3 linked regions of the Rhinolophus ferrumequinum genome follow. The protein of the gene in region 1 purifies or fractionates together with the protein of each later gene. This does not show direct contact. Links are inferred from orthologs where the notes say so. Each region holds a gene or a part of one and is shown on either strand. Other genes may lie near its edges.

Region 1 (7,286 bases):
TGGCAAACATGGTGTTTACGCCCACACTAGACAGGTGCAAACTGCCACACTGCTTGTGTTCTTAGGACTGCTATTTACACTTTCCTGAGGTTTTAAGTAGCCTACCATAATAAGACTCTTTTAATGAATGGCATCTAATCTGCTAATGGGAAATCTGACAAATGAGTAGAGCTGAGTCTAAAGTAAGAATACACAGTGTCTGAATAACAGCTTAAGAATCACATAAGACTGTGCAGCAACTATAAAATTTTTGACTTTTACTAGACTGACTTGAGTAGCGTTGGAAGGTTCTGAGTGAAAGAGTGACATGATGATTTAAAATTGAGTTTAAATTTTAAGGTTGAGCTACTGCGTTGAGAATAGACAAGGTTAGAAGCAGAGAGATCACTTAGGAGCTTATTGCAATACTCCAGGCTGGTAACAGTACAGGTAGTGAGAAATTGTTAACTAGGAGACACAATGTGAAGTTCAAGCCAACAGGACTTGATAATAGATTAGATAGAGACTCTGAGAGAAAGCGGAGTCAAGATCGACACGTTAGAGATACCATTTATAAATATGAGAAAGCGGGGTGCTGTCAGACCAGCAGGTTTAGGTGTGAGGGGCTACCAGGAGTTTGGCTGGGGGCATGCTAAGTTTGAGATATCCATTCGACATTCAGGTGGGGATGTCAAATAGACAACAAGTATGAGTCTTGAATTTGTGAAGAGAGTAGCTTGGAGATATAAACTCGGGAGAAGTCAGCAAATGGATGGTAATTATAGCCAAGTAATGAATAAGACCACTTTATGAGTACAGATGGAGAAGAGTTCCATGAAGGGAGATCAAAAGCTCTCCCACATTTAGAGGTGAGGAGCAGAAGGCAGATCTAGCCAAGGAGACTAGGAAGGAATGGCCAGGGAAGGAGGCAGACAACCTACAAAAGGTAAAAACATTTTTCAAGAAACAATGGAGGTGGAAGGCAGGGAGCATGTGGGAAATCTCTGTAATTTCCTCTCAATTTTGCTGGGAACCTAAAAAGCTCTAAAAAAAATTAAGTCTTAATTAAAAAAGGAAGGAGTCCGGCAAAACTAATCTATGATGATAGAAATCAAAAGGGGGGGGTGAGGATGGAAGAAAAGGGAACTTTGTGGGGTGATGGAAAAGTTCTATTATCTTGTATTGGGTGGTGGTGATTTGAAATACGTAACTGTCAACATTGATGGAACGGACCACTTAGTACTCCTGCATTTTAATGCATGTAAATCTACAAAGAGGAATGAAAAAAAGATCAAAAGGAATAGAAATATCTGGGGGGAGGCAGATGGAGGGGAGGGGGAGAAGCTGGACAAGTTATTAGTGGCCAGACTGAGGAAAGCCTTATACACACAGTAAACACTTTAGATTTTGCCCCAAGAGCAATGGGCAGTTTGAAGAAGTTTAACCAAGGGAGTAACATGGTCCGATGTGTGTGTTTAAACTGATGGCTCTGGCCACAGAGCACAGATTAGAATGAGACAGGTTAGGAGCCTAGGAAGTAAGAGACGACAGTGATGCAGACTTGAAGAACAGGGGGAATGAAGTTTCAGATTTGAGTGCAGTTAGTAGGCAGGACCCTTAAGATGGGATGGTGGATGGTGTACAGAGGGCCAGGAAGACGAACTGTCATTCCTGAATCAGAAGGCCGGAAATGTGGTTTTAGTCCCTTCACAGCTGTGCGAATTCAAGCAAGAAACAGAAATCCTTTAGGCTTCTTCCTTCAGCGCTGGAGAAGCGGTCCAGTCAGCAGTTAAGGATGAAAACTCTGGAGTCAGCCACTTACCTGCGTTCTGACACTGGGTTACTTAACCTCTCTGGGCCTCAAAAATTTTCATGGGTAAAATGTGGAGAAAATAGTATTTATTTCAGAGAATTAAATAATGCAATGCATGTCAGGCTGACACAGAGCCTGGCACATAATAGGTGCTCAGTAAATGCTGGCTTTTAACTCTTCCAGAGTTAAAATCCAGTATTGCCTAACAAAACCTTTCATAATCAGGACCCTTACCTATCCTTCTGCTTTCACTCTCTTCTTCACTCTAGTACTACCTAATTTTACTTCCTCAAAAACATCAGATGGTCTTGCCCAGCGGGTTTCAAGCGCCCTGTTCCCTCTACCCGAAATCTCTCCCCTGGCTCTTTCCAAGCCTCATTTCTTGTTCCCCCTTTCCATGCCGATGAAGATTCTGAGGCCCAGAGAGGTTATAATATGTGCCTTTCTAGAAAATAAAATTATATCAATCGCTGGACTTCCTCAGGCAGCTCACTGTAGGGCAGTTAACCTTGACTTCTGATAATCTGTTGAAAGCTATGGAGCGAGGTCCCGGAAAACACGTAGGGAAGATGTTGAGTAAATATTCAGGACGTTTAAAATACTCATGCAGTCCAAACTTGAATCCCAGGTTACAAGGAAGGACGACTAGCCTGGGATTGAGACGATTTGGTTTTACCACTACAGCCAGCTGTGGGATCTCATGAAAGTGGCTTAAACTCCAGCCTCAGTGCCCTCTATGGGCCCGCGAAGATGCAATATGTCCCCCAAGGTGGAAGTGAGGACCAATTCTCCCCTGACAAACATGAACACTGGAAAGGGTCCAACCCGAGAGCCGTCCGCGGGGCTGCTCGGCCCGCATGGCAGCTGACAGATCGTTAAAGATCCGGCCTTTCACGTGCACGCGGCGGCGAGAGCAAGGAGCTGCGTGGCGGGGGCCTGAGCATGCGCAGAAGCCGCGGCCCGCCCCGCTCCTGGGCGAACGCTCTCGCGGCACCGCCTCCAGGGTACGCATCCCGGCCCCTTCCGCTCCCCGCGTACCCGGCCCTCACCTCTACGGTCGGGATCGGCGCAGCCAAATGCTCCGGGGTCAAGTTCCCAAACTCCTCCGCAAGCATGTCCATGCTGCTCACGAAGAAGGAAGAAGCAAACCAAACCCCCACGCCCGCCTTCGCTGCCTCAAGCGAAATGCAGCTCTCCAGGAGAGCGGTGCGCGGAGGCCTAAGTGGTCCCCGCCGCGCAGGTTAATTGAACACGCGACAGAAAGGTTCCGCCTGCTTCCGACCCGAACCTGCGGTGGAACCCGGATGTAGCTGAGGCGAAACTGGGACATTGCGCCCCCTGGTGTCGCACGGAGGTCTCGCGCAGGTAATCCTAAACCCCAGCCGACAGGTTTATTTCCAATTATCCGGTAATTGAGACCAATAGACCATATTGGTTATAATTTTTAAAATAAATCTAAGAAAAAAGAGTAAACGGATGACTTGCGCAACTTGAGCCACTGAGGCAGAGAATTCGTGTAATTCAGTCCAAAACTACATGTTGTGTAGTATGGAAAAATAGGAAACTTACCAAATGTCCAGTAGTAGGGGATTTGGGTAAAAAAAATGATGGTGCCTGCATGTGATATTGAAAAATTATGGTGCCTGCATTATTCAAAGATTAAAATAACCATAAAGTGAGGGGGTACTCACTCACTAGAGAGTAGAGCATAACAGGACAATAATTAAGACAGTGTTATATTCTAAAAGGAGTAGAGGTAAGATCCAGGAATAAATATCAGCACGTGGAGAAGTTTAGTATGAAAAGGTGACATTTTAAATCAGTAGAAGAAAAATGAATTATCCAATAAATGATGTTGGAACAGCTGATTAGCCATTTAGAAAAAATACATCTAAATGAATCCTGTATGGATGATATACTTAAATGTTAACAAAATTTGAGAAGAAAATGTAAGTGAATTCATAACAATTCATAACATTGTGGAGATGACGGCTTTCAAGGATGGCAACACCAACATTGTAAAGCATTCATAGATTTCATAATACAATTCTCACTGTACTTTGATTCCATGAAAATTACTTTTTTTTTTTAATCACCGTGAAGAGAGTTGTTTAAAAACACAGGTTGCAAAAGACGAAAGCTTGGTATCCCTAATTTAAAATGAACTCAAACAAATCAATCGGAAAATCCCTTTGGGAAAAACAAGGCCAAAGATACCAACAGTTGTTTAATGGGTACGAGCTTCAGTTTGGGTCTATACGAAAGTTCTGGAGGTGGATGGTGGTGATGATAACACAACAGTGTGAATGTACTTAAGGCCACTGAATGGTACACTTAAAAATAGTTAATATGGTAAATCTTAGGTATATTTTACTGCAATAAATTATGGGAATTTGTTAAATACACATTTGTCATTTTCTCATGAATGTATAGGCCTTGCACCAGGTTAGTCTAATTTCTGAATTAGCTGCTGCAAGTAAACTTCAGTTGCCTGTATCTTCTAAATATTGCACTGTTGTGCTGATGTCTGAAAGTAGGAGGAGAAAGGAAAGAGAAATGAGAAGAATCAACTCCTGCTCTTTAAGATCTTACAGTTTACTTAAAGAGACAGGTACACTTTTGTATCACCCTTCTGAATTACCAGAGAGCAACCTATTCAGAATCTAGCCTGAAAGGAGCCATGACGTAGTTTTTTGATAGGAGACATCTCAAGGTTGGCTTCTGGGAGCTTCTGGAACAGGGACTGTTTTGTCTGTCTTCGTAGTCCTAGCTCCTAACCCATTGAATAAACATGTTGAAAAAATAATTTGAAAGAAAAGCATACAATGAGTGATACCAAACTCAGTATTATCTTTCAGTTTTAATCCTAATTTTTAAATTTTGTTTTAGTTTCTCTCGGAAAGAGGAGGACGTTGGTAGCCGTGGTCCCAGGTTCCTGCATGGCGATCAATGGTTGGCTGATGCTGAGTGGTGGTGGCTGAGATCGCAGCTGCCACCATCCTACCTTCCTTACACCTGCCTGGCCCCCGAGGTACGGCATTGGCAACCCCAAGTCAAATCAGTGAATTCTTTCTGATCTCCTTAGGGGCTAGATTTTTAAAACCAAAAAGCCAGGAACAGTCTCTTGATTTCTCTGTCTTCTGCTGTCACATCTTTTTCCAGAGCTATGGGTGCAAAGAGACTGATGGTTTGAATAGGGAAAGGAAATTGCAGAGGGAAAAATGATTGATATCTTGGACTACTATCCCATCACTTACGTATAAAATGTTTTGGTAGCCAGATGAGAAAGTGATCAATGCCACTGGGGTTGGAGAGGAGAACAGGGAGCAATGGTTAAAGGAGTATAAAGGGCAAGAAAAAGCAGAGGTGTCCAAGCTGGGCCCTGAAACATTAGAATGTCAGTTTCTTGAGTGTACTCTTTGCCAGACATTAGAATCATACTTTATGTGTATTCTCTGGTTTAATAATGAACCCCAGGGGGATAAGTATGATGGATAACTATGATTATCCCCACTTGACAGATGAGGAGACTAAGGCTCATAGTAGGAGTTAAGAAATTTGCCAAGCAGAGTTGGAATTTAAATTCGTAATTATCTGATGCCAGAGCCCATGCTTTTACCCACTCTATTATTATACCACACTGAAAGAAAAGTGGTGGAAGGCATTTCAAGCAGAGAAAAATGCCTGAGCAATGGCATGAAGGTTGTAGATAACACAATCCCACATTCTGGCAATTGAGTGTGGGGCTTCAGTCGGGCTATCAAGGGAAGTGTCTGTAGATGACACTATAAAAATCCACTGGGGCTGATCATTGACCTTTATGCCATGTTACAGTTACACCTTATTATGAGAGGCTCAACACGAAGATACTAGGAACAAAAGAAAAAGATCATCCTCTCTTCAAAACCTTCATGCATTCAGGCTGGGAAAAAATATGTACGGTCCTGATTTCTATACCTGAATCCATTGATAATAGAACTAGAGAAGACCAGAACAATGTTGGAGAAAGAATAAGGGCTCTTCAGTCTGACGAGGCAAGGGCAGAGAGGGAATCCTTGAAGTCTGTTATTTCACAGAGAGGAAGGTGAGGAGGAACATAAACAAAAGTCTCCACTGTAGTCAGAGAACATTCTGCATTTTGAGTAAGACTGGGTGGTCCAAAAACCTCTAGCAGCTGCCGTGCCCACAGGCTTTTCCCTGAAAGCCTTACTTTGTGTCATGTGACATCACCATCCTGCCAAAAGCCATAGGGCTAGGAATCGGCCAAAGACAGCCATATAAGGAAGCCAAGGTGGCTTGTCATGAGACCCCTACCCAAGGAGGGACAGTGGGAGAGGAGGAATGCATACCAAGCAGGGGCAAATAACCCAATTGTATTCTCTCTCCTGCGACGTTTTTAATTAAGATGAACCAAAAGGGAGGGCAGCAGCAGGAAGCAGAAGCAGACAAGTAAACACCAAGTCAGCATTCGGTAGCAACACGACCGTGAGAAATACTTTTCATTGGGTGACCTAAGGAACCAATGTAGCAAGTGGTTAAGGGCACACATTTCAGGGTTTGACTCCTTGGGTTCAAGTACATTGACCAGCTCTGTGACCTTGGATGACTTCCTTAGCCTCTCTGGGTCTCATTTTGCACATGTGGGAAAAAAGATAGAGCCTTCCTCACAGCATATCTCGCAGTTATGTGAGATCATATATATTAGATGCTTAACGGTAGTGCTTGCCATGTGGTAAGTGCTTGGTGGCTATTATGATTCTATTCTGGAAAAAAAAATTACATTCAAATTCTTGACCAAGTCTAAGTGCAGCTGCTGGGATACATTCCTGGGTTTCCTTCCCCCCCCCCCCCCATAAAGCCTTATACTAAACCCCGAGGTCCCTTTTCTCTGAAACCTGAAAGAGGCTAACGTAGTAGTAAGCTTAGAAATGAAAAGATAATACTTCACTGCAAAAATAGAGAACAAGAGGACACAAGTTGATTATACAAACATAGTCTCTAAAAGATCAGGTTAAATCATGGAGAATAAAGTCACAATGGATTACTAAAGGAAATCAGAACCTGTTGGTTTTGTCACTGTCCTTTGAAGATGACATCCAGGTGGCTGTCCTCTGGATGCAGCTTTCCACACACCCTTGAGTGTCTCTGTCAGTGACAATATTGGGCTTAATGGACCATGCTTCTGATGAGATACGACAGTTTTTGTTCTTTTGCACTTAAGTCTTAATCATCACGTCTCACAATACTAAAACCCTTGAAGCTTGAAAGAGATTTAGAACTAATAAATTAACAGTTATTATCATGTGTTCTGGCTACACTATGCTTTAGAATTTGCAATTTCAAGTACATTATCTCGTTTGATTCTCACTGTATCTGCCAGGTAAGCAGGGAATAGAATAGGCAGGTAGGGTAGGAAACCTCCATTTAGAGGGTTCAGGGAGATTAAAATACTGGCTTGAGTTTATATAGCTATTAAGTAGTAGAAGTGAATTCC
Region 2 (8,099 bases), about 7.7 Mb from region 1:
TGGGGGGCCTGGCAGCATCTTAAATGAGATGGGGGGCACAACGTGCCCTGCCTTTAGTGTTGCTGGCAGCCTGGCAGCCTCGTCCAGGGTAATGATCAGTGTGGACAGGAGGAGGAAAGAGCATGGAGGGTTCCCCTTGCCTGGGCCCCGGGGCAGGAGCCTGCCCTCTGGCCATGGATGAGGGTCTCCTTGTGTTGTGGCTGCTTGGATCCCCTAAAGCCACTAAGAGGAGCTCTCTGTGATGGGGTGAGGGGGTCCCTGGCCCACAGCCAGCCTCTCCTATCCCCTACCCTCAGGACGTGAGACTGGAGCAGCCAGGCTGACCCCCAGCACATACAGGGCTGGGATGGGCTATGAGCCTGGCCTCCTTCAGCCGTCTGTCCACCCACACACACTCCTAAACATCCTGGGCCCTGGGTCTCCAGCCTTCTCAACACCTGGAGCTTACCTCCATCCTCACCTTCAGAGAGAGGCCATCGCTGGTCGTCCTGGCGACGGCAGCAGTCCCTGGTCATGTGTTACCATATTATCCATGTGATAGTTCCTGATGGTGCCTGAAATGATCTCCCAAATCTGTTTGTTTCCTGTTGGTCCCCCTCCCCTAGACGGGGCCTCATGCACTGTAGCCCCAACAAATACCTGTTGACTTTCTGCCCTTTGTTTTGGCTCAAGCCAGAATAGAGAGTGACATCCTGGGACCCTTCATTTAGGTCCCTTCTAGAATCACCGTTCGTAATGGCACTTCAGCTGTGCTTTTGCCTCTATCGAGGGGCATTTTAAAAGTGCCCAAATGAGAACAGTTCCCGGGCCTGTTCAGACACCGTCAAGGGCATCCTTCCATTCCTCAGAGGCCTCTTTCCTTGAGAACCTGGAGAAAAATCTTCTGAGAGCTCAGAATCAAGGAAATCTGGATGTACCCCGAACACCTGGTTAGTTTCCATATTGGAAATTAGAACGCTTAGAGCCAAATTCTTTTTCTACTACCATTAAGTTCACAGGACCACTCAGATCTCAGGGCAAATCTTTTCTTTTCATCCTCTCTTTTAATCATCCAAGAAATACTTATCCTGAGCTTATTGTGTGCCTGGACCTGGGGAATCACTTGACCTGGGGAATCAAGTGAACAGAACTGACGACACCCCTGTCTTCATGGCACTCACAGTCAAGAAGAGGGAGAGGCAATAAAGCAACCTAAGTAGCTATGTCATATGTCAGAAGGCAATAAATGCTAGGCCGCCCACATTTAGAGGTGGGGAGAGGAGTCTGTGAGGTGGGAGGAGAACCTGGGGAGCGTGGGCTCCTACAAGCCACAGGGAAACCGTGTGTGAAGGAGGAGGGAGTGAGCAGTGGGGACAAATGCTGCCCACGAGGACTGAGAATTACCACTGGACTGGAAACGTGGAGGAGGCCATTGTGACCTTGAGAAAGCAGTTTGCGTTGACAGGAGGGCCCCACACCTGACTGGAGCAGGTTGAAGAGAGGACAAGAGGATTTGGAAATAGCAAGCGCAGATGACTCCTTCAAGCAGTTTTGTTGGTAAAGGGAGCAAAATATGGGGCACGAGTTGGAGGAAAAGGGGGACGAAAGACGGTTTTTTAAAAAGGTGTGAAAACTCTGAATTGCTCTTTTAGTTTAAATTTTATTCATTTTGGAATAGGTAATATATTCCCATGATCCCAAACATCAAAGATTCCAAATTGTGTTTGGTTAAACATTCTTCCTTCTACCAGTGTCCCTCTCCCACCCCTCACCCTGGAGACAACCTCTCACAGAGCACGTACGTGCCCACAAACACACACACATACACACACACACACACACACACCAACACCATCCCCAACACACACACACATTATTTTTCTCCCTTTTTGACACAAATGGTAACATCCTATACACGCTGCTCTGTGCCTCGCATTTTGATACTTAACAAACATGTCCTGAATATCATTCTACATCAATACACAAAGAGCTTTCTTATTCTTTTTATGGCTTCATAGTATTCCCTTCTATGATATACTGTATATTTTTTAATCCAGTCTCCCACTGATGGACAATCATTTGAGTTCAGTTCTATTATTATCTCCATTTTACAGAGAGGCCGCTGAGGCACTGAGAGGTCCATCGGCTTCCTCATGGAGGCTCAGCCCCCGTGCTGTGGCGTGGGAACTCCAGGCGCTTCACCACACTTGACTCTCCACCTCCTCCTGGATTAGTTCCCTTATTTCTCCCTCACTCCTACACTCTTAGCAATTATTTTGCTATCCTTTTGTTCATGTGAATAACACATATTTACAAGCCCTGACCATTTGCCAAGCACAGGGCTAGGCCCAGAGGATGTGAAGGGATATGACAGAGAAGGAACTTGCAGACTAAATAAGTCTTTGTGTGTTTTTCTAAGCCACCTCCAATCTTTTATGGAATGACGCAGAGAATTAATGAAGTCTAGTCCCTGTTTTTAGTAATGAGGAAACCAAACGTGCCAACAAATCACTGTTGCAACCCTGTGAGCTGAACACCATTAGAAAAGCCTGGGAACCCCAAACACTGAGCTGTGCGATTCTGGCCCCCTCCCCCAGCCTGGCCCTCCTCCAGTTTCCCTTCTCTGTTAACGGTTTACCATCCAGCCAGTGGCTAAAGCCCTCATTGGCTCCTCTTACTTCCATGCCCAGGTCATCCACCCTATTGATGAGACCACCCGCAGAATCTTCTGGACTCTGCCCAACTTCGCTATCCAGGGCTACCAGACTTGCTAGGGGTCTTCTCTTACAGGGGTCACCCAATAACTTCCTCCCTGTCTTCTTCTCTCCACTCCAGCCCCTTCCCATCCACTGTCCATCTAGCCACGATGTGTCACTGTGCCATTTCTGGTTCTAACCTTCTAAGGCTTCCCTTGAGCTAATGTCCTGGCGGAACAGCCCAGAGACTGTGGGCTCTGGAGCTTGACTCCTACTTGAATCCCACTTACCAGCGACCAGCCGTGTGATCAGCTGTGTGATTTTTTTTTTCAGTTGTGGAGGGTGAAGCTCAGGTCCAGGTCCAGTTGCTGTTGCCAGTTGCAGGGGGGGCAGCCCACCATCCCTTGCGGGAGTTGAACCATCAACCTTGTGGTTGAGAGCACGTGCTCCAACCAACTGAGCCATCTGGCCACTTGACAGCTCAGCAGCAGCTCACTGAGCTCATTCTAGTTGTGGAGGGTGCAGCTCGCTGGCCCATGTGGGAATCGAACCGGCAGCCCTGTTGCCCAGAGTTTGCATTCTAACCAACTGAGCCACTCGTCCGCCCCCAGCTGTGTGATCTTGAATGATGTACTTAACTTCTCTGCCTTTGATAAGGCAAAATGAGATAATGAGATAAACGAGAATCATTTGATAATGAGATAAATTAGATAATGATAATGATAGCCCCTACCTTTTACAGCAGTTGTGAGAATTAAAAGTTAATGAATCTTATAATGATAAGGCCCTTGTGATTTCCTGAGACCATTAAATTCTTTTTCTCTCTGTCCTCCCTCCAACCCCTCTGAGCTGAAGTTGGCCCAGGAGCCCAGTTCTTCCCCACTGGATCTCCAACAGCTGGATACACAGTCTGTTGAATGAAAGAAAGAATGAGAAAGGCATTGCATTTGGGTTCTAATGGATGCATAGGAGTTTTCCAGGTAAAGAAATGATGGAGGCAGGGCTATTAAAGGGCTTGTTCCATCCTTGGGGCTGGAGGCTCCCAGTGCCTGGAGGACAGGAAGGAGGTGAGGCTGGAGAAGAAGACTGGGTTCAGTCCAGACCCTCTGTGTGGGCAAAGGATATCCATGAAGGGAAGGCTTTTGTGACAGAGTGGCTGTTGCTTGCAGGAGAGACTGAGGCCAGGGTATGTAGCTAAGCTCCAGGGGAGCAACGAAAAGGCCTGAACTAGGGCAGTAGCTGTGGGAATAGAATGAAGAGGAAGGATTTGAGAGATATTTGAGACAAAGAATTAATATAGTCTCCTACACACTTTTACTGAATATCTCCTAGGAAAGATGTTAGGGGATTGTGGGAATAAAGAGCAGAAGTAATATCTTCCCCTGTCTTCAAGTAGTTCAAATCTTAGGAGAGGCAGGCAGACCTATAAATAAAAATATGGTGCAGGGAAGGTCGAATTCAGTCTTATCACAGCCAGTCTCATAGAGAGAACGCTCTGTGTGTAAAATCAGCAAATTAAAGCACCGTGCATTTCTGAGTGACTCTGTCACCTACCCCAACACTTTTTTTAAGTTCTCAAATTTTTATTTGGTTAAAACATACTACAGTATATTTCCACAACCCACCAACTTTTAGAGGCAGTGTAGTGTAGAGGTTTAGACTTAGCAGCCCATGATTTTGGACGAGTTACGGAATTCTCTTAGCCCAAGCCCATCTTAGCTATCATGTGAAGATGAAGGAGACTGAAACGTGGGGGAGAGAGAATGTGGAGGAGTGGGTAGGGATGAGATACTGCAGGGCCTTGTGAGCTACCATAAAGGGTTTGGATTTTATTATTAGTCCAATGGGAAGCTACTGAGGTGGTTTTTTTGGTCCCAATTTTACCATTTTTCAAATGAGATGTAATCTGTCCACAACTAAATGCAAGTGTTGAGTTCCATGAGTTTTGACAACTGCGTACATCTGTGTAACCACCTCCTAAAAAAAGATACAGAACATTTCTATTACCCCAGAAAGATCCTGCCTGCCACTTTTCAGTGAATTCTCCCCATCTCCAGAGTACTGAAGGGTCTAAATACTATATTGTGTTTGCATCACTCTGGCTGCGAGGCAGAGGACGGCTTGAGACCCGTAAGGAGATTGTGGCACAGGTCAGGCGAGAGATGACTGGTTGCACCGAGGTCGCCTAGCAACCAGCAAGCGTTGTCTAAGGATTGATCTCTAAGGAAAGGGGAAGCACCGCCCCCTCCAGGCCCCGCCCCACCCCCTCCGCCAAGGAGTCTATAGGCTGCGCCACCCCACATCCGGGGGAGGTAAGAAGCTTCTTATTGGTCGGTTCTCCGGAAGCCACGGGATTCGGAATCTCGCCCAAAGTCGTGCGAGCTCCGGCTGCGTTTGCGTGCGCGGTGCGTGGCGGAGGCGCGTGGTGCGTGGCGCGTGGCGCGAGGGGGCTTGGCGCGCTCATTCACTGCTGAACCGAGGTCCCTCCCGCTGAGCCTCAGTTTTCTCCCTTTGCGGTAGTGGAGCATTCTCCGCACGGGGCACCCCGGGCCCTACTGCGCAGCTCCACTGCCAGCCTTCGAGGGGGTGTCTCAGCGATTGGGACTAAACAGAGGAAGCTCGGGGATCCCCACCGCTCCAGGCCCCGATGCATGACTGATCCTCCGGTTCCCAGAGCCTCCAGCGCAGGCCAAGATGTTCGTCTTGGTGGAGATGGTGGACACGGTGCGGATTCCCCCGTGGCAGTTTAAGAGGAAGCTCAACGACTCCATTGCCGAAGAGCTAAACAAGAAGTTGGCCAACAAGGTACTGGGCCCACGGGGTCGCGGGTAGGCCTTGGGACGGGAGGGCCCAGTACTGCCCACCCGCATGCTGCAGGGCTGGCCTTGGGCAAGTAGCTTATCTCAGAACACAGTTTCCTCACCTGTACTTGGTAATTCTTACTCCACAGGGATGTTGGAGGGAATCAAAAGAGAAACTGGGTTTGAAAAAGGCCCTTGTGACTGCGAGGCGCTAGATTCCACACTTCCAAATTACTTTGCAATCTTGGGCAAGTCATTTACCCCCTCTGGGCCCGTTCCCACTTGTAAAATGCAAATAATAGTTACTGTCAACCACACATGGTTTTTGTGAAGATGGATGGTCAGGAGGTTTATCCGTTTATTTCTGCAAAAAATAAATGTTCACCTTCTATGCCAGGCCTGCATGCCTTAGTGCCAACTCTCCAGAGGCCTTCCCACTGCCTTTCCTGTAGTAACCCTCCCGCCTCAGTTATTCTGTGTCATATCACACTTAGCCACACTCTATTTTCTTATTTGTTCACTGGGTTACTGTTTTTCTCTTTCCCTGTCCATGAGGGCAGGGACCTCTGCCTGTCTTCTTCCCCACAGTATCCCTCAGATGTAGCCAGAGCCCGGCACAGAGTAGATGTTCCGTAATCGTCTGTTGATTCATTGAATGAATGAAACAGACAAGGTTCAACAGATAGGAATGAGAGGGTCCCACAGATGAGTGTGATGAAGATTTGAGGTAAAGGCTATGAAGGACAGGCATTCACAAGCCTGTGGAATAAAGGAACTTCACCTACAACGAGGGGGACAAGAGGCTTTGAGCTTTGTTAGGGAGGTGGCATTTTTCTTGAGCTGAAATGGTGAGGAGGAGCCGACTTGGGGATTGGTTTTTCATGGTGGGAGGGGCTGGGCAGAGAGAAGAGCTGTGCAGGCAGTCCAAACCACCTATGGCAGGAGGGAATGTTGCACCTTCATGGCATGGAGTAGGCTGGCGTGGCCTGGGCAGGCTGAAAGGTGGTGGGGGCCAGGCCACACAGCCTGCAGGACTTCATGGGGTGTTTATTGGTCTTCATAGAACAGTAGGAGGTGTTAGGAGGGTGGGGAGGAGCCAGCAAGAGGAAGATTGGCTTTATTTTTTCCCCCTTCTTCCACCTCCCCCGCCCCCCAACTCCAGTTCAAGCTGTTGTTTCTCAGTCTAGTTGTGTAGGACACAGCTCCCTGGCCCGTGCTGGTGTGATGAGCCTTGCGCTCCACCCCTTCTCTGGTTGAGGCAGTCGGTCGCCGATCATGGGTCGTCGTAGGTGGGCCACTCATGGCAGCTCACGGCAGCTCTCGGCCGGCGGCAGCTCATGCCAACCTCTGGCTGCTCTTCATGCCAACCTCTGGCTGCTCACGGCAGCCCGGAGCCGCTATTCACGATCTTAGCTGTAGAGGGCGCAGCTCACTGGCCCATGTGGGAATCCAACCAGCGACCTTGGCATTTGGAGGGCGTTTGGAGCATGGTGTTCCAACCACCTGAGCCACCGGGCCAGCCCATTGATTGGTTGGCTTTAGACAGGAGGCAGTTTCCCTCCATAGAGGCTGAGGTCAGAAGGGGATGCGCAGATCTGGGGAGTTGGTGGTGGAGAGAACTCACGGAGTCCTTGGTGGATGGCTGCTGGTTACTTTGTGAAGTAGAAGGTGAGGGGGTCTGTAGGGAGATGTATGAACATCGTAGAGAGAGAAGGTGTGCAAAGTCCAAGAAAGGAATGTAGTCCCTTTTGTGGCACGGGTCCTTCAGTGACCTGTTAAGACAAGTCTTTCCATGTGCGAATCATTGAGTCATTTGAGAGGAGGCCACACAGAGAGGTCCACGGTCCGGCCAATGACATAGATCTTGTGCCGAACTTTGTCCCGTCTTGGTGAGGTGTGGCCAGGACTCGTAAGTTCTCTGAGCTTCTTGCTAATCCTTGAACAGTCCTGCCAGGTCTCAACTGGGAGGCGATGACGCTAGTGGCAGATTAGCAGACACCAAACAAGCAGCCAGTTGTTTGGAGCACTGTGGGGTGGGGATGGGGATGGGATGTTCTCTGCCTGTTCTCTGCCCAGTTGTGGGGCCTTGGCCATGTGTCACTGCCAGCCTCAGTCCACGTGGCCACGTCTGTGTGTCTGAGACTTTATGAGCAGAACAGAGATTAGCTGTAGTTCTGACACTGAGCTGTGCACTTTGGCCTGGACTTGGGGGACCTTGGGAAAGTGTAGAACCAGGGGTTCCCTTACCACTGAACCCTACTAGTAATAATTGTGATCCTTGATTATTATTATTTCTATCATGTGAGCCACGTACTGGGATAGAGGCTTCCCATCCAGTCTCTCTTTATTTCAATGCTGCAGCCTGGTGTATCCATTTTTGCAGGGAAACTGAGGCTCCGAGAGGTGACCTTAGAGGTCACGCAGTAGGTGGTGGAGCTGGCATTGTAACCTGGATCTGTCCTGTCACCAAAGGCCCTGTTTTCTCCAGAGCTCCACATCCTTCCAAGTTTCCTCGTCCGTGGTTACTTCAGGCAGTGCCCCAACTCATTTCCAGCTGTAAAATGGGGGTGATCATACCTGCCCTGAGGTGTCTCGAGAGAGACTGCCTGGGAGCTGGGCCTCG
Region 3 (8,018 bases), on another chromosome or scaffold:
TAGTATAGTTCACAAGGAAATGAAAAAACACTCTTGCAAAGCCACAAAATATACAGACGGTAACTACCCAGAAATGAGTCAATACCAAAGTAGATGTAGAAAAGGATACTGTTTCATGACTTCTTTATACTTCACAGTGTCACGAATATCTGGACGGGAAAGAAAGAATTAACTGGAATTCAACATATATGAAATAATACAGCATGAGACCTTCCACCAATAATATTCTAAGCAATAGGTCTCTCAAGTCATCTCTGCTTCCTCTGAGGAAAAAAAATTAAGTTTATCCCTCAGCATCTGAGTTACTTTTTAAATTTGTTTCCTAAATTTTTAAGCTAAGATCATTGAATTACGATAGCAAAAGAAGCAAGATTTTGAAAAGAAGCAAGATTTTGAAGAGAAGAATAGAAAGGCAAAAGGTGTCCTGTACCTTCTCTACCAGCAAGAAACTGAAACTAGACTCTTAGGATTCGCTTGTCAGCATCGTCTTCTAATTTCCCCAGCTTCACACTGGTTTCCTCCCTCGTAAAGGATAACTGCCAGGTAACCCAGGAAGAATGTTAGGCTAGGAGCTCTCAAGTTATGGTAGAGACGGTCAGAGACCAGGAGAAGATTTATGCAACTTAAATACCTTGTCAGTGATCATAAGCATAGAAAAAGGGAGCTGAATCAAGGAAAAAAACGTTTATTTCTTACTAATTCCTTAGTGGTAACAAAGGTAATGCAGACATGATTTTTAAAAAAAAGAATGAATCTGTCCAGTAATATCTAACTAAACCCATCTACCAGTCTGTAAACCTATCCCATCAACTATTAGAATTAGAATTCTATCCTTTGAGTAAGATGAACAATTTTTCCCCAAATTCTTCTCAAAACAATCTCTGCTTCTTGATACAAGGCCCTCTATTAGTTTGTGCGGGGTACAAGCAGCTTAATAGGTTTAAGAAGAATAAGAAGAGGATTGGCACACAGTGATAGTCTAGAAATCAAGAAACCTAGATCCTATCTAGAATCATGACATTGAATCACATCCATTCTTATTTAGAGTCACAGATTCCTCTTAAAGTCTTATAATTGGGAAACTTTCCCCAAAACAATGTACATGTGCATATATACACACATTTTCCCATGTAACTTTGAGAGTGGAAGCAAGGTTCCTACAAATCAGTAAGTGAACTACCACACAAAAACCCTTATACTCTAACTTTAAGAAAAGAAACTAAAAAGGTATATGTATGTATCAAAGCCTTTTGAAGGGTTTATGGCCTAGAAGTGAGAGGACTGACTTCCTGTCACTTCATTTTCCCAAATAACAACAGCCTGACACCCTAGGGTCAGAAAGAGGGGAGAAATAATGCTGAGTGGTAAGGAAATACATTTGGGAAAGAAGTAAACAAAGAGAAAATGTGAATAAGGGAGAAGCCTGTTTAGGGATTCTAGCAAATCCAAGCAAAGGAGAGTAGATACCGTGTTTCCCCAAAAATAAGACCTAGCCAGACCATCAGCTCTAATGCATCTTTTAGAGCAAAAATTAATATAAGACCCAGTATATCGTATCGTATCGTATCGTATCAGACCCCGTCTTATATCATATTATATAAGACCTGGTCTTATATTAATTTTTGCTCCAAAAGACGCATTAGAGCTGATGGTCCAGCTAGGTCTTATTTTTGGGGAAACACGGTAGTTTAGAAAAAATGAAAGCATTGAAACTGGCAAGCTGGAGGCTTTCCATTCTGAGGCAGTTTACTTACCAATATTGGCAGGAAAGGGAACTTCATGCACAGCCGGGTCCAGGTTGATCACATAAGGTGGAGAGCCTTGGCAATGCAGGTGTCCCGTGAGCCTCTGCAGCAATATGGGGAGAGGGATTGAGTGAGACAAAGAGGGCATGATAAGGGGATAAAGGACATTTCCTTCCATCTGAAACATTCACTTCCAACGTTGAACTCTGTTGAAATGCTACCTTTCTTTATTACCCACTTAACAGAGCCTCCCCTACTCTTGATCATTTACTTGTTTTGTGTGGGGGTTTTCTCTATCACCCCCAGTATAACAGTAGTTTCCTGAAAGCAGGAACCTTGTCAACCTCATTTTCACTGAACACGTACAGAATATTTATAAGAGTTTATTTGACAACAATTGCCAGGAAGCAAGATCTCAGATTCTCCTGAGAATGGCAGTTTTACAGTTTCTTTTATGCATTTGGAATTAAGAAGGTAAACATAAAGAAGATTAAATAACTAAAAGTGGGAGAAGGCGGGGTGTCAGATTACAGGATAGTTAATAAGATTACATGCTCTCTCGAAAAAGAGGCATTTCAAAGGTGTGTTGTTAACCAACCTAGATGCACAAAAACAATGGACAGGGCTTGCTTAAGGCAAAGATAAACCTTTTACTAAAGCAGTTATATGCCTGGGCCATCACTACTCACCACGACCTGCCCCATTAGGAATTTATGATCAGATCACCCTGTGAAGTTACTTTTCATCCACATCTAAAATATTATATAATAGGCATGCAAGACATATGTAATTCTTTAGAAATCTACACTGAAAGTCTGGGTGGTAGCACTGTATTAATCACTATTTACTTGTAAGCCTCTGCCTCCCAGGAGTTGGCAATATTATCGCTAAAACAATTCCAGTACAACTACTTAAGTTGTACCAAGTACTACGCACCGATAGTGTACAAAAGAGAGCGTTAATTAACCCAGGCTCAGGTCGAGAAGGCTTCGCTCAGGAAGGAACCGGAGATGCTGGCAAGTCCCCAAAGCCACGCGCTGCTCCCCTCCAACACCCCAGAGACCTCCCTCCCATTCCCCCACCCGCCACAGACAACCTCAAGCACACCAACTACGCCCGCGCCGTGTACGTCACCTGTACAAAAGTGGTTTTCCCAGATCCCGCCATTCCCAACACCAACAAACACACTGGGGGCCGAGGACCCCCCGAAGCCTGCGGCGCAGCAGCAGCCGCGGACGCCGCCATCTTTCCCCTGGCCCCGCCCCCTCTACCATAGCGACGCAGCGTGGCTAGAGAGACTTCCGCAATGTTCTGGGCTGCGAACGAGGGTAGATCTGCACCTGCCAGAAAGGGAAGAGCGAACGAGCGCCAGAGCATCTTCCTGTCCCGACCTGGCTCGGGAGTCAACTAGTGGCAATGGCGGGGAAGTGTAGAGTGTGGGAAGAGGACTGGAGTGGGCCAGAAAAATTGGAGCTCATGGTCTTAGGATTGGGCCTGGGAAGGGCAAAGCTCTGGTTCCCATGGAAACAAGAGGACCTAGGATCCCAAGGGCAGGACCCCCACACTACGAAAAAGAGAGTGCGTTTCACTTTTCGCCCACCAGGAGCGGGGAACACAGCCTACCGAGAAACGAAGGCTAAGGTTTATTCGGCGGAAGTTAAGCAGCCCAGGGCTGGACCGGCCAGGACTGGGTACCTACGGGGTTGCTGGGCAGCGCCCAGACCCGTTGAACACAGAACCGAGAAATTGCGAAAAGTTTCCTCAGCGGGACGCTGTATCCGTGTGTCGCAGTCCCCTGACACTAGCTCCTTGGCAGTCACCCTCAATGAACTACAGCTAGACCTTGGGGAGAAACGCTGGGATTCCAGTCGCAAGTAGGTACTAAAGGAGCGCTTCCCTCCACGGAAGCGTCCTGGGAAACCGAAAAGGTGGTGCTAGAGCCGAGACGTTTGTTCCTGCTCCCGACCACCGAGTATGTGCTGGTGGCCCTTTGTAGTTGTTAACTAAGTCATAGATCTAAGTTTCACACCTTGGCTGGCTCTGCCACTTGCTAGCGGTGTAAATCGTGGCCAAGTCATAAATTCCCTGAACCTGTTTTCCCTTTAAAATTGAGGTAAGTGGGGATGAGGGAGAAGGTGAGGGGATTAGAAAGCACAATCAATAACCACAAGATTGGCACCAGGATACAAAAGACAGTTGGGGAATAGAATCAATAATGTTGTAAAGATTTTATAGGGTATCCCACGGACACTTGTCTTATTAGGGAGACTGCTTCATGGACGGTGTGTCTGACCACTGCAGTGTACATCTGAAGCTGAATAATATCAATTATATATATATATATGTGTGTGTGTGTGTGTGTGTATATATATATATATATATATATATATATATGGTCACAGGATGTGGAGTACAGCATAAGGAATAGAGGCAATGGAACTGTAACAGCTATATATGATGTCAGAGGGCTAGTAGATTGGGGGAGTGGGGGTTATCACTTTGTGAGGGGTATAAATGTCTATTACATTGTTTTGTACACCTGAAACTAATAATAAAAATGAGATACATTACAGGGCGGTACTGAATGCATATTGTAAATTGTAAAGTACACTCCCTCATCTTTACCCAAGCTATATCATACCCCATGCCTCCTCGCAGTGTCACTAAATAAGTGCTCAAAATATTTTCTTGTATGAATTAAAGTACAATTGTGCATTTTTTATTTCCTAAATTTTAATGAAGAACTGATGGGGGAATGTCTCACTTGTTCTTCCTTCAGGTTTGTTGAGGACTCCAGTGGTCCCCCTCCACCGTATCTTAGTTTAATAAATAATTTTTTTGAGCCAGAGAAGCTAACAATGGCACTGATGGGGCTTAAAGAAACGACAGTGGAAATGATGACGCTGGACAAGCAAATAAAACAAGCTCAAATTTGGCAAGAACCGCTAATGAAGGAAACTTGGCAGCTACTCAGTGAAAAGTTACATGTCCAGGCTGAAAATAAATTCTTTCTGGAATACCTGACCAACAAAACTGAGAGGTATAGAAGGCAATTTGAGAAGCTGTGGAACAGCTATTTGCAAAGAAGTGGGGAGACTGAACAAAGGAGACAAGAATCAGCCTCCAAATATGCGAAACAAACATCAGAGCTTAACACAGAGCTCTTGCAGAAGGGCAAGATCCAATCTGATTTGAACCAGCAGTTGCAGGCATTGAGGGACGTTTCACTATTAAAGGAGAAACAGGAGAGAGCAATGCAGACATTAGAGGAGGAGAAAAGAAAAGTCCAAGCTGAGACAACTGGAAAGAAACAGGAAATCCAGGTCCAGTACCTCCAGGAAAAAGCATTACTGGAGAAACAACTGAGTGAGCCAGATGTTAGGCAGTTGGGAAAGAGAAAAGGAAAGAAGCTTAACAGGAAGATCCAGGCCTTAGAGTTGGCAGCAGAGAATTATACTTTTGAGTTGTACCGCAGTGTCCGCAGAGAGAACCAGCAGTTACAGAAGGAACTATTGCAGCAAACCTGGCAATGCCAGAAGTTGCAGACTACTCAAAGACAGTTCAAAACTCAGAAGCGGCAGCTGCAGCAGGAACAGTGGTATGTGGAGGGCTTAATCCGGGGGAGGCAACGACTGCAAGGCATGCGCCAAAAACAAGAACCCCTCCCATAGGCACCAAAATCAAGGATTAACCCACAGTAATTCCTAAAATATCGCTGATTAAATAAGGACTAGAGCAAGTGTTCTTAGGTGCTGCATAAACTTAGGAAGGCTTTTAGATCTCATTGCTATGGTAAAATAGCCATCATGATGTTTTAGTGTGAAGGTTGGCTAATAAAGATGTCTACTTTCTGCTGTGCTATGAAGGAAATTAAATAGGGTGATGTTACAGAAAGTGTGTTCAGGTGGAAAAGACCTCTGACGTAAACTTCAGTTTGAGACTTGAATGAGAAAATGAAGTATACAATGCAAATGGGGTAAAAATCATTCCAGGAAGAGGGAAGAGTGAATACAAAGGCCCTAAAATGGGAATGAGCTTGGTAGGTTCAGAAAGGTAGTGTGGCTAACATGTTGTTGGGGAATAATAATCAGAGAACATGGGTGGAGCAGAGGAAGATGAGGCTAAAAGGTCAGCAGTAGGAACACAAAGCGCCTTGTAGAACAAGGAAAGGGAGTGACTTAGATTCTAAGTGCCCTGGGAAACCATTAGGCTTTTAGCACGTGAATGAAGTCTGATTTACAGTTTTAAAAACTCACTACAACCTTCTTACGTGGAGTGAATCCAAGCCAGTAAAAAGCAGAAAAAAACAATTAAGAAGCTCCTACTGTAGTCTAGGCAAGAGTTGATGATGGTTCCAACTGGGATCGTAGAAATAGAAGTGAAGACATGGGGGGAGCAGACTATTGGGTGAGGGAAAAATCAAAGGTTAAGATGAAGCAGAAGAAAATGTTCTAAACTTTTCCCTTTGAAGGAGGTAAGCAGAATATATTTTTTTGATTGTTAACTGATTTTGAAAATGAAATATTTCAGACATACAAAAAAATATAAAACTATGACAAACTTACTATACACCTTAAGAAATAAGAACTTCCAAATTCACTCGTAGTCCCTCTGGATGCCAGCACTATACTAAATTTGGTGTTTATCATTCCTGTGCATGTTTCCATACTATGTTTATATATATTAAAATACATATACTAAATATAAATATTTGTATATACTGTACTTTTATATTTACATATATCCATAAACAATGTAGAGCATTTTCGTGTGTTTTTAAATGTTATAAAAATGGTACACTTGATGTATTCTGTAACTTGCTTTTCCCAGACATTATTTTTGAGATATATTCATGATACAAGAAGCTCTAGTTAATTTCATAGCTGTATAGTGTTCTACTATAGGACTACGTCACAATTTATCCCTTCTCCCGATGATGGACAATTAGGTTATGCATTAGAGTAGGTTAACAGAGACCCGAGAATGCATAATGTCTCAAATAACAGACTTTTATTTCTTGCTCATCTAATAGTTTGATAGATGTTCCTGGTTGGCAAGTAGTTCTTCACGGAAGTAGTCTTCAAGGAGTTAACTCTCTTCCTTTTTGTGCTCTGCCATCCCCTACAGCCCATCATCACGTGCATCTAACCCAAGGAAAGGGAAAGCAAACATGGAAGTACACTCACTCACTTAAAAGTTGTAGCATGGAAGTGACACATGTCACTTCCACTCATGTTCCACTGGAGAGTTGGCTTCCCCTTCCCTGCGGTGAATGGCTGGGAAATGGGGTCTAGCCATTTGTCTTATAATCCTATAATTTTGCAAGTTGAGTGCAGATTTTGGTGGACAGCTAGTAATCTCTACTACACATTGTTTCCAGTATCTATTATAAACTGTACTGCAGTAATCACTCTTGTTTATGTCGCCTGGTACACCTGGGCAAGAGGAGTTTCTCTATTATATACCTAGAAGTGAAACTGCTGAGTTTTTGGGCATATCTTCAATTTTGCGAGCTACCACCAAATCATTTCCCAAGTGACTGTATGAATTAACATTCCAAACCATGCATTCGAGTTCACATTGTTCCAAAACCTAGCGGTACCTGATACTGTCAAACTTAAGTTTCTGTTATTCTAATGAATTTAAAAACTTAAAAACTCAATAGTATGATCAGGAGAGTCTATACTGAGTCCTGCTGATCACTGGCCTGATCAGAAAAATGAGTGCCTGCAAGGACCCTGGATGACATTGGGCAAGTTTCCTATACTAATTCACTTTAATCGCAAATTATTCATTTTACCCAGCAGATTTCAGGAGCTAAGGAATGACTGAGACAACTGCATTTGGTACTTAGTTTAAACTCACTCCCATCCCTAGCCATCTTTTTACCTCCATACACTGTATCAGCAAGGAGTCAAGTAGCAGGTCGGAGTCAATGAACAACTGGAAACATCAATCTAACAGAGTTGTTTATTTCTTTTGTCATTGCCAAACATTTCCCAAGTCTTACTCACCAGAAATTAACACAGCTTCTTCACTTCTCCTCCCTGACAATCCTTATCTACTGAAAGGGCTCTAAGGGCACAAATGCCAATGAAAATGTAGAGTGGATGAATCACACCATGTCCTTCACTTGTTTCAAAATTACCTATTTTGGCAATATCCAAATAAGGTTTCAATGCCACCTTATTTGAAAGTGGTCTTCACAAAAGCCCACATTTAAAAGCTATATGGAAGATCACACAACAGTTAGAGTGGTAATAGCCTTTCAGA

Evidence for each region.
Region 2: the proteins of POLR3B (region 1) and POLR3H purify together in Homo sapiens (affinity purification with mass spectrometry; 8 studies listed by BioGRID and IntAct, with this or other methods). This does not show direct contact. The link is inferred for Rhinolophus ferrumequinum from reciprocal best matches to the Homo sapiens genes POLR3B and POLR3H.
Region 3: the proteins of POLR3B (region 1) and GPN1 purify together in Homo sapiens (affinity purification with mass spectrometry; 4 studies listed by BioGRID and IntAct, with this or other methods). This does not show direct contact. The link is inferred for Rhinolophus ferrumequinum from reciprocal best matches to the Homo sapiens genes POLR3B and GPN1.

Annotation. Positions count from the first base shown.
Region 1 is NC_046293.1:14,150,225-14,157,510, forward strand, and holds the start of POLR3B (DNA-directed RNA polymerase III subunit RPC2), read right to left. Parts: upstream 3,095-7,286; 5' UTR 2,914-3,094; coding exon 2,842-2,913; intron 1-2,841. UniProt on the Homo sapiens protein: Catalytic core component of RNA polymerase III (Pol III), a DNA-dependent RNA polymerase which synthesizes small non-coding RNAs using the four ribonucleoside triphosphates as substrates.
Region 2 is NC_046293.1:6,460,009-6,468,107, forward strand, and holds the start of POLR3H (DNA-directed RNA polymerase III subunit RPC8), read left to right. Parts: upstream 1-5,011; 5' UTR 5,012-5,093; intron 5,094-5,349; 5' UTR 5,350-5,369; coding exon 5,370-5,480; intron 5,481-8,099.
Region 3 is NC_046296.1:53,153,217-53,161,234, forward strand, and holds the start of GPN1 (GPN-loop GTPase 1), read right to left. Parts: upstream 3,049-8,018; 5' UTR 2,991-3,048; coding exon 2,880-2,990; intron 1,849-2,879; coding exon 1,755-1,848; intron 150-1,754; coding exon 110-149; intron 1-109. Other genes in the region: CCDC121 (coiled-coil domain-containing protein 121), read left to right, coding at 3,162-3,619, 4,525-5,416. UniProt on the Homo sapiens protein: Small GTPase required for proper nuclear import of RNA polymerase II (RNAPII). May act at an RNAP assembly step prior to nuclear import.